Linked DNA regions of Mus musculus: region 1 is reported to be linked to region 2. Evidence: microRNA targets listed by miRTarBase, many of them from high-throughput screens and not tested one by one. Region 2 holds a microRNA gene; the other region holds the end of a gene's coding sequence.
What was found. Region 2 holds the annotated microRNA mmu-miR-3101-5p (GGUACCAUUGACUAAAGCUAG, at 1,575-1,595, opposite strand). A microRNA usually pairs through its seed, bases 2 to 8, with sites in the 3' UTR of a target mRNA and lowers its output. Matches are read on the target gene's strand: a 7mer-m8 pairs with bases 2 to 8, a 7mer-A1 pairs with bases 2 to 7 and ends in A, and an 8mer does both.

Region 1 (4,396 bases), not on the chromosome of region 2:
GCCCAGATGACTTGGACTTCAGCAGTCTGGCTTTTGATGCCCGGATTGCAAGAATAAATGCCCTAAAGGCAAACACATATGGAATGCCCGATGGGTTTCTCGAAGCCCAAAATGATGCCAATGAGCTGCTCTGCCTTGTGAGGGCAACCAAGGCAAGGAAGGAGGAGTCACGCCCTGAAACATATGACCTTACACTTTCTCAGTACAAGCAACTGTTATCCATTGAGTCCAGACAGTTGGGAAGTGCCTGTAGGAAAATGGCAATGGCCGAGAAAAGCCCAGAAGAGATGCTCCTAGCTATGAGTTCCAGTTTTCAAGTGCTCTGTTGCCTAACAGAAGCTTGCATGCGGTTAGTGAAAGTCGTGAACACTGAAACACAGCGGCAAGAAATTGTAGCAAAGATTGATGAAGTGGTCATAAACTATATTTGTCTCCTGAAAGCTGCTGAGGCAGCCACTGGCAAGACCACTGGGGATCCTAATATTGGACTATCGATGCGACATTCAACCACCATGGCCGCTCTTGTAAGCACACTAACACGTTCTCTCAAGATGCTTTTAAATAAATAAATATGGAAGTCACATCATAATCTATCTTTGCAAAGCCATACATGAACTTTTCTTTACTTTCTGTGTACAATGAACAGATGTCTCCTTTCTTCTCTCTGTATATTTTGTTCTTTTATATAAAATAGGAGATAGAAGTTACATTGATGAAATGTTGAAAAGTCTCAATCAGATATATTCTGTTTATATTATACAAATATACATGTAGAAGGAATATATGAGAAAATGATGACATTTGACTATTTTTCATGTAGTCAAAACTCTAAGCATATGATATGAAATTTTAAATTCTACATTGTTAGAGGAAAACAATGAATCCTATCCCCTTTCCTTCCAAATGGATACTTGGAGACCCTATCATTCATATTTAGAAGAAAAGCCAAAAGAAACAGAATAGAAAAGAAATCAAAATGTATATAAAATAGTTCCCGTGTTTTAAAATCATAATTTTTAAACATTGGAAGTAGCAAAAATATATTTAAAATTCAAGAAGCTAATATGAATTACTAGAAAATATATAATAAATTAACTTTTTGCTCATAGTGTTTTGTTATTGGATGCTTTCTTCCAAGAATCCCCACATATTCAATTTTGGTTTATGCTATTTGGGCTACAGATTGGCAGGGGTGGGCAGATTCCATTGTGTCAGCATAAATGCTTTTTATAGTATTTCTAGACTTAAAAAGTTCCCCCAAATAAAAGAACAGGGGAAATTATGGGCAGGATCCTAGGCAATAACTAAAGGTATAGGTTGTCTAATTACATAAAATAAATGGAATTAGTAATGCCAAAATTAAATTGTTTGATGAAAAGAGAGATCTGCTTTGACTCAATGTCAAAATACATAAACCGAAGGCATTATTTCCTTCCAACTCAACCATGAAGCTTACTATTTCCTTTCAAGAACACCTAGTAAAGTGTTTGTAGAATTACACAAAAGCAGATTTAATGAGCACAAAAAGTGCAGACCCAGCAATGTAAATCAGAGCGCACCCCAGCACCTGGGAAGCACAGCTCAGCCTTCAACTCTTAGTCCTCAGCTCCATGAAGGGCTTCCTGTTGCCCCTCTCTGACAGGAGCATGGCTAGCAACAAAACGTGGAAAGACAGCCTACTACTGGGACAAAATTTCAAATCTAGAGTGTTCCAGAAAATCAAGTAGAGATGACTACTCTCATAATTGAAACCATGATTCAAAAGGTAGTATTTACCTAATGAGTACTTCATTTGGCAGATAGAAATACAAAATCTGACAGAAACATGGCAAATTTGACTATTTTAAGTGAAACTAAGGGAATACAAAGGTGTGTTCTGAACTGTCATCACTCAAATTATATCTTTGGGTCAAAACAAAAGAAGGCAAACTCTTCAATCATAAGTTAAATTGATATGTACATATGTAGTTTCTGGATCACTCTGTAGTCAAGCTCCCCAATTCCTATTTCTGTAAATGGCTTAGAATAAGAGTAGTATAGCAAGAATCAATATTTCCCATTTTGTAGCCTGCCATGCAGGAGACCTAGCAAGGTCTACAGTTGCTATTTCTCTCTGGTCAGCCATTCATTCCACAGAGACTCAGCAAATGCAACACCACAGATTTACAGATTGTAACCAATGAAAGGAGTTCAGATATACGTTGTTATAAATAATGTTTGATTAAATAATAAAACATTATTTCATTACAATTCTAAATATTTGGTGTTTTGCTGTTGAGAGACATTAGTGGTGTTTACTGTGGAAAATCTTAGCAAATATTCTGTGTACTATAATACAAACAATAATAGGATGTGTGCTCTGTGTCAGACAATGTGCTAAACATTATTATCACATGTATTATCTCATTTAATCATGTCTATGATCTCTTGGTTTGGACACTATCATTAGTTCCTTCTGGAGGCATTATGGTTTACTAGTTATGAAATGTGGGGCTTGGGATCAGAAACATCTTGATTTAAATTTTGGTCCTGCCATTCCCTAGCCCTTTCATCTTGGGAAAGCTATCTTTTCTTTTTCAGTCTTGATTTCCTTATTGTGAAATGGACTTCAATCATGAGATCTATTTCCATAGGGTTTTCACAAGTTTTAAGTAAAATTGTGTATTGTAAAGTTCTTACCACAATATCTGATGGAGAATAAGTATTCAATGTTAGATATTATAATTATCATAATTGTTGTGTTAAACATATTGCCCAAGATACTGTGTGGAGGATGTTTGTTTTCGATGCATACTGTATCCTGATTGTGTGCAGAACACATTTGTGTGTAGTGCATACTCTGAAAAGAAGCATACAGGGAAATGATGGTCTGTTTTCAAATTGCAAATCTAGCTAGAACAACTTCCTACTCCATTGTGGTTCTTTGAGAAGCCTCAGGGAAATAGCTCTGGGTCTTTCTAGCCAATCTCTAATTTCCTGTGACTACTCCAGTAAGTTTCTGTTCTCCTAAAGCAAGTCTTTACTATTCAAAAATCTCAAAAGGCCCCCTCACCTTCATTAAGCATGGGGCTCCTAACTGGAGTTCATGTCCATTAGAGTATAGGAAGAACATACTAGAATGATACTTGTGTTTATTTTTATCTAGTTTTTTTATGTTTGTGTATGTTTTATAATGGCATAATAGTACAGTGGTACATGTACATAATTTTAAATAAATAAATAAACAAATAAACAAGCATAAGCCTGGTGCATGTATGCAAATACCGTCACAGGTAGCGTTGCATTCACTAAATTTTGAAGAACATGGAACTGGCACTGAAATTTGTTTACACTTGGAGTATGTAAACTCCTATTTTCCTAAGTGTCTCTCTCCCCACTCTCATGTAGCTGTCATTATAAAAGGTACAAATGTGTACAAAAATTCATGCAGTTGTAAAAGGTGTCAACTGGTGACTCCTTGGATATCAACTCCTAATCAGTATTACTTGCTCCATTTCTACACACCTCCTCCCAACCTGTAAGATTTAGAAACTCCCTGGTACCCTGTCCCTTAATCTATGAGTATCTCATTAGGAATAAGAACTTTAAAAAATAACCACAATGCCACTTCACATATAAAAATGAGCAATTCTTCCATATCATTAAACAAACATTACAGAAATAAATGGTAATGAAAATGAAAGTCCTTTACAAGTGGAGCCTCCATAGACTTTGTCCATAATCACTGCCATCTTTCCCCCATCCGTTTCTCTTTATTTATCGCTATTTTCATTCATTTCATTCTTCTGAGTTTAACTTTGAACTCAGTTGGTGTGAGCACATGAATCTTAATTTGTTCATAAGTCATGTAAGTGGATTTGTCAAAAGGAACATTGTAGGCATGAGAGGGAGAGTTGTCACATGAACAACAGTCATAGCATTAGTAAGAGCCACTATTTGATACAGTTGCTTCAATGTCAAATTTAACATGGAATCCACCAATTTGGGGCTCAACAGGAATGATCCTAATCACATAAGTAATTGTTTTCTAGAAAATAGAGGCTGAAAATGAGTTTTGAAACCATCAGCTACAATACCACCACAAGAGTTTGATTAGTTTTGCTAAGAAGACCACCTTTTCCTGATAGACACTCTCCATTTGCTTGTATTCCTTTTACATATACTTCCAATGCCAATTATCAATGACCTTAGTGCTATTTCTGAGCCACTCAGAATGTTACTTTAATCTCTTCTGCCTGCATTTTTTTAATTTGACAATGGGGCAATTTATTCTTTATTTACCACTCACTGAGCTGCTGATAACTGTTTCCAGTTGGAAAAAGGAGGAGAGTGAATCAGCTTTGTTCAGCCAATTCCTCATCTTTTCTAAGCACTTAGAAACCTTAATGTGGGCCAT
Region 2 (4,396 bases):
TTCTTGTTGCCACAGAGGATGACCACGATGTTGGGGCTGGCCAGTGTCCGGGCATCAGTTAGCCAAGCAGCGAGTGAGTTGTATGTCTCCCGGCTGTGAAGAGTGGACAAAAGAGGGAGGCAGCACAGGAGTGGGGCCACCCAGGCCCGGCCTCTCCCACGCCACCCAGGCCCGGCCTCTCCCACGCCACCCAGGCCCGGCCTCTCCCACGCCACCCAGGCCCTGCACCCACCTGGTGATGTCATACACCAGCAGGGCTCCAGCTGCCCCTCGGTAATAACTCCGCGTCACCGACCTGTGAGGCCAGGGGGACCCAGTCACCCCCAAGGCTGGGATCTGCCCCAGGACTGCCCCCCTCTGTGGAGAGAGGCTACTGGTTCGGAGGCCCCCTTTACTGTTGGCCCATTCCCTAGAGCCTGACCTCCATCTTCTTGAGATACAGTTTCTCGGCCTCAGAGTCTTTCTCAATTAGTATTATTCAGGTTGGCTTTTTGAGAGTCTCACTCTATAGTCCAAGCTGGCCTCAGGTTCCCTGCCTCCGCCACCATACCCGTAGGTTCTTGGGATTGGAGCCAAGGGCCTGGCACATGTTAGGTAAGTGCTCTACACAGAGCTACACCCTGACCCTTCATTTTAGTTTAATTCAAGGTCATGCTATCTCACCCAGGCTGACTCCCATCCAACATATCCTAGGCAAGCTGGCACGTTGTTTCTTTTATGTAGGTGGGTGTCCGTGTTCCATCGCGCATTGTGAAGGTCAGAGGACTCTTACAGCAATTGCTTCTCTCCTTTCACCACATGGGTTCAGGAGCTCAAACTTAGGTCCTCGGGATGGCAGTGCTCACTTTGGCCTTCCCTCTTTCATTCATTCACTCAGGGAGCATTTTCTGATTATCTCCCATCTGCCTGTCCTGACCAAGTGCTATACAACCTCTACTTGTCCCTCCCTGATGTCTGAGGCAGGCCAACTCCCTTTGTCACCAATCTTGAGGGATGCGTACAGTTACTGTGAATGTAGGCCTTGTCACATGCCTGTCTTCTCCTTCACCCTCTCTCTGTCTCTGGGTTCTCCATACCTCACATAATCTCAATCTACACATAACTTAATTAAAAGCTGCTGATATGCTGAGACTAGATTCTCCAGGAGCTGAATATGCCCACCCCCTCCCCTGCCCCACCCCCCATCTGCCTGCCCTGCTCAGCATCTCTTTGCTCTTACTTCATCATTACCTTCTTACTACACACCTTTCTTCCCCTTCCTCCCTCTCCCCTCCTTGGGAACCCAGGCTACCTACCGAAACCGCTCCTGGCCAGCAGTGTCCCAAATCTGTAGTTTCACAGTCTTCCCCCCAACGTTGACCACCCTGGATCCAAACTCCACGCCGATAGTGTGGTTGGAGTCCTGTTTGACTGAGAGTAGGAGGGAAACGGGGTGGGGGGGCAGTGCAGGGGCTCCTGGAATCCCCCCCATCCTGCAGACCTCTTCCTCCTTTTCTGTACCCCAATTCTCACTGCTGGGTTGGCAGAGAACTTAGCAAAGACCATCCACCAAAGCTAGAGGCAAGCCTATAGTACTAGCTTTAGTCAATGGTACCTGCTACCTACCCCACCTGCTGCCCCACTGACCCACACCATGACCACATCCGCAGTTCCAGGGTCCTGCCAGAAACTCACACTTATTCTCAATAAACTGGTGGAGAAGACATGATTTGCCAGTTCCAGCACTGCCAATCACCAGGAATTTGAAGAGGAAGTCTGAGCAGATGGTGCCGAAGATATCCAGAGGGAGAGAAAGACAAAGGGAATAAGAGAAGAAACAGAAAGTCAGAAGGAAAAGTATACACAAAAGTATAAATACAAAAAAGTATACTTTTGGGCTGGTGAGATGGCTCAGCAAGTAAGAGCACTAACTGTTCTTCCAGAGGTCCTGAGTTCAAATCCCAGCAACCACATGGTGGCTCACAACCATCTGTAATGAGATCTGATGCCCTCTTCTGGTGTGTCTGAAGACAGCTAGAGTGTACTTATGTATAATAATAAAAAAGTATACTTTTACACAAAAGTATAAATACAGCATGCATTTAAAAAAAGAAAAGAAAGAAAGAAAAGAAAACAGGAAAACTTAAAAAAAGAAAAAAATCCAGAAGTCTGCAGGGCTGTTGATAGAACTTGGGAAATCCTGCATGCTAGCCAACCTAGCCCAAGATGATTTTTTTTTTTTTTTTTTTTTTTTTTTTGAGACAGGGTTTCTCTGTATAGCCCTGGCTGTCCTGGAACTCACTTTGTAGACTAGGCTGGCCTGAAACTCAAAGATTCCCCTGCCTCTTCTGCCCTCCTGGGCGCTGGGATTAAAGGTGTGCACCACTACTGGGCTCAAGAGGACTCTTTTTTCTTTTTTCATTATTATTACTGATATTCGAAACAAAGCTTCACTATGTATTCCAGACTAACCTCGCTGTCCTCAAACTCCAAGCACTCCTCCTACCTCAGCCTCTAAAAGACTGTGCTGCCATCCTCTACTTTCTTCCTTCCTTCCTGTCTGTCTGTCTGTCTGTCTGTCTTTTTCCTACTCAGGGACTCACTATCTGGTCTTGAACTGCAATCCTGCTGCCCCAGCCTACCCACTGCTGTCTGTCTGTCTGTCTGTCTTTTTCCTACTCAGGGACTCACTATCTGGTCTTGAACTGCAATCCTGCTGCCCCAGCCTACCCACTGCTGGAAGTGCCAGCACACTGCACTTTTCTTTCTTTCTCTTTTTCTTATTTTAAGAGTATTACTTTGGCCAGGCAGTGGTGGCGCACGCCTTTAATCCCAGCACTTGGGAGGCAGAGGCAGGTGGATTTCTGAGTTCGAGGTCAGCCTGGTCTACAGAGTGAATTCCAAGACAGCCAGGACTGCACAGAGAAACCCTGTCTTAAAAAAAAAAAGAAAGAAAGAAAGAAAGAAAAGAAAAAGAGTATTACTCTGTAGTCCAGGCTGACCTCTAACTTGAAGCAGTCTTCCTGCCTCGGTTTCCCAAATGAGAGGGTTATAGCACACAAAATTATTTTTATATAGTGTTTACCATATACATGCCCATCACAGTCCTAAAGACTCATTTAATCATAAATAAAGCTCTAAAGATAAAATTATACAGCTCAAGAGATGGCTCAGCAGTTGAGAGCAATGACTGCTCTTCCAGAGGTCCTGAATTCAATTCCCAGCAACCTCATGGTGGCTTACAACCATCTATAATGGGATCCAATGCCCTCTTCTGGTGGCTCTGAATACGGCTACAATGTACTCATATACATTAAATAAATATTTAAAAAGGAAAGAAGGAAGTATACTAAGGACTTCTACTTTCCAGACTAGGAAAATGAGGCCAGAGAGGTTAACTGACGAAAGCAAGACTACACAGCTAGGCACAGCTAAGCTACAAACCCAAACTAAAGGTCTCCACAATGCAAGACCTTACCTGATGCATTTCAAAAGCCATTTCAACAAGAATTAAATCTGACCTCCATTCCTCTTCACTTCACCTCCTACCCCCTCTCACTCATTCACTCTGTCAAGGCCTCTGACGTTGGGCCTATGTCCTAAACTGGTTACCTCCTCTGGTAAGTGTGCACCAGATTCTGTGGCTTTTCTATGAGTGTTCAATGAATGGAGCTGTCTCTGATTGTCGTCAGAGATTTCTACTGCCTTCCAACCTACCTCTACCCACCTGACACTGTACATCCATACTGATTGCCTAACTCTGAACCTTGTCTCCCCATCCTCTGTCCAGAACCCCTGGCCTCTATCCTTAAACTTATGCCGCATTTCTTGACGCTAAGTTTCAAATCTATAACTCAAGAACATCACTCCAGCCCTCTCAAACCAGATCAGCCCACAGAGTGTGCAGGGTGCACAGCATCTGTGAGGCTCTCTCTGTAGTCCATAAAACCTGACCCTTGCTGGTCACCGTCAGCCCCGCCCTATCCACTCATGCTCCGCCCAGGAAGGCTTGCTTCCCTCTTCAAGGCCTACCCCCTACCCTAATCTACCAAGACTAGGTCCCTTAAATCCCGCCCTAGATCTTTTTAACCCGTACAGCGGCCTCTTCAAGCTCCACCCAAATCGATTAGCTCAGCCCCAGACCCACTTAGCCCTGCCCCGTATCCGGGCAGACCCCGCCCACCTGACCAGAAAGCCCCGCCCCACTTCCACATCCACATCCACTACGGGCCCAGCCCCCCCTGCTTCGGCCCATCAGCCTCACCGTAGGTCTCGGCCATGGCTCAGTGGCGACCGCTGAGGGCCGCAATATGGCGCCGCAGCCGCGCCTGTTCCTCGGCTGGCAGCCGCTCCACTCGGGCTGCAGCCTCAGCTCCTTTCCACTTCTGGACCCGGCGCCGCCACTTCCGCCTTCACC

Region 1: miRTarBase lists Frmpd4 as a target of mmu-miR-3101-5p. Seed matches in the 3' UTR shown: 7mer-A1 at 3,190-3,196.

The regions. Positions count from the first base shown.
Region 1 is chrX:167,470,146-167,474,541 of GRCm38, reverse strand. It overlaps Frmpd4 (FERM and PDZ domain containing 4), which reads left to right. Exons shown (of 17, transcript NM_001368936.1): 17 at 1-3,235. The coding sequence ends at 569. Among named protein-coding and RNA genes, the nearest start is that of Prps2, 90 kb to the right of the region's middle.
Region 2 is chr7:27,174,484-27,178,879 of GRCm38, forward strand. Mir3101 (microRNA 3101) reads right to left here and starts at 1,610; the gene lies at 1,523-1,610. Rab4b (RAB4B, member RAS oncogene family) reads right to left here. Exons shown (of 8, transcript NM_029391.2): 1 at 4,244-4,396; 2 at 1,675-1,755; 3 at 1,296-1,410; 4 at 233-295; 5 at 1-93. The coding sequence starts at 4,259.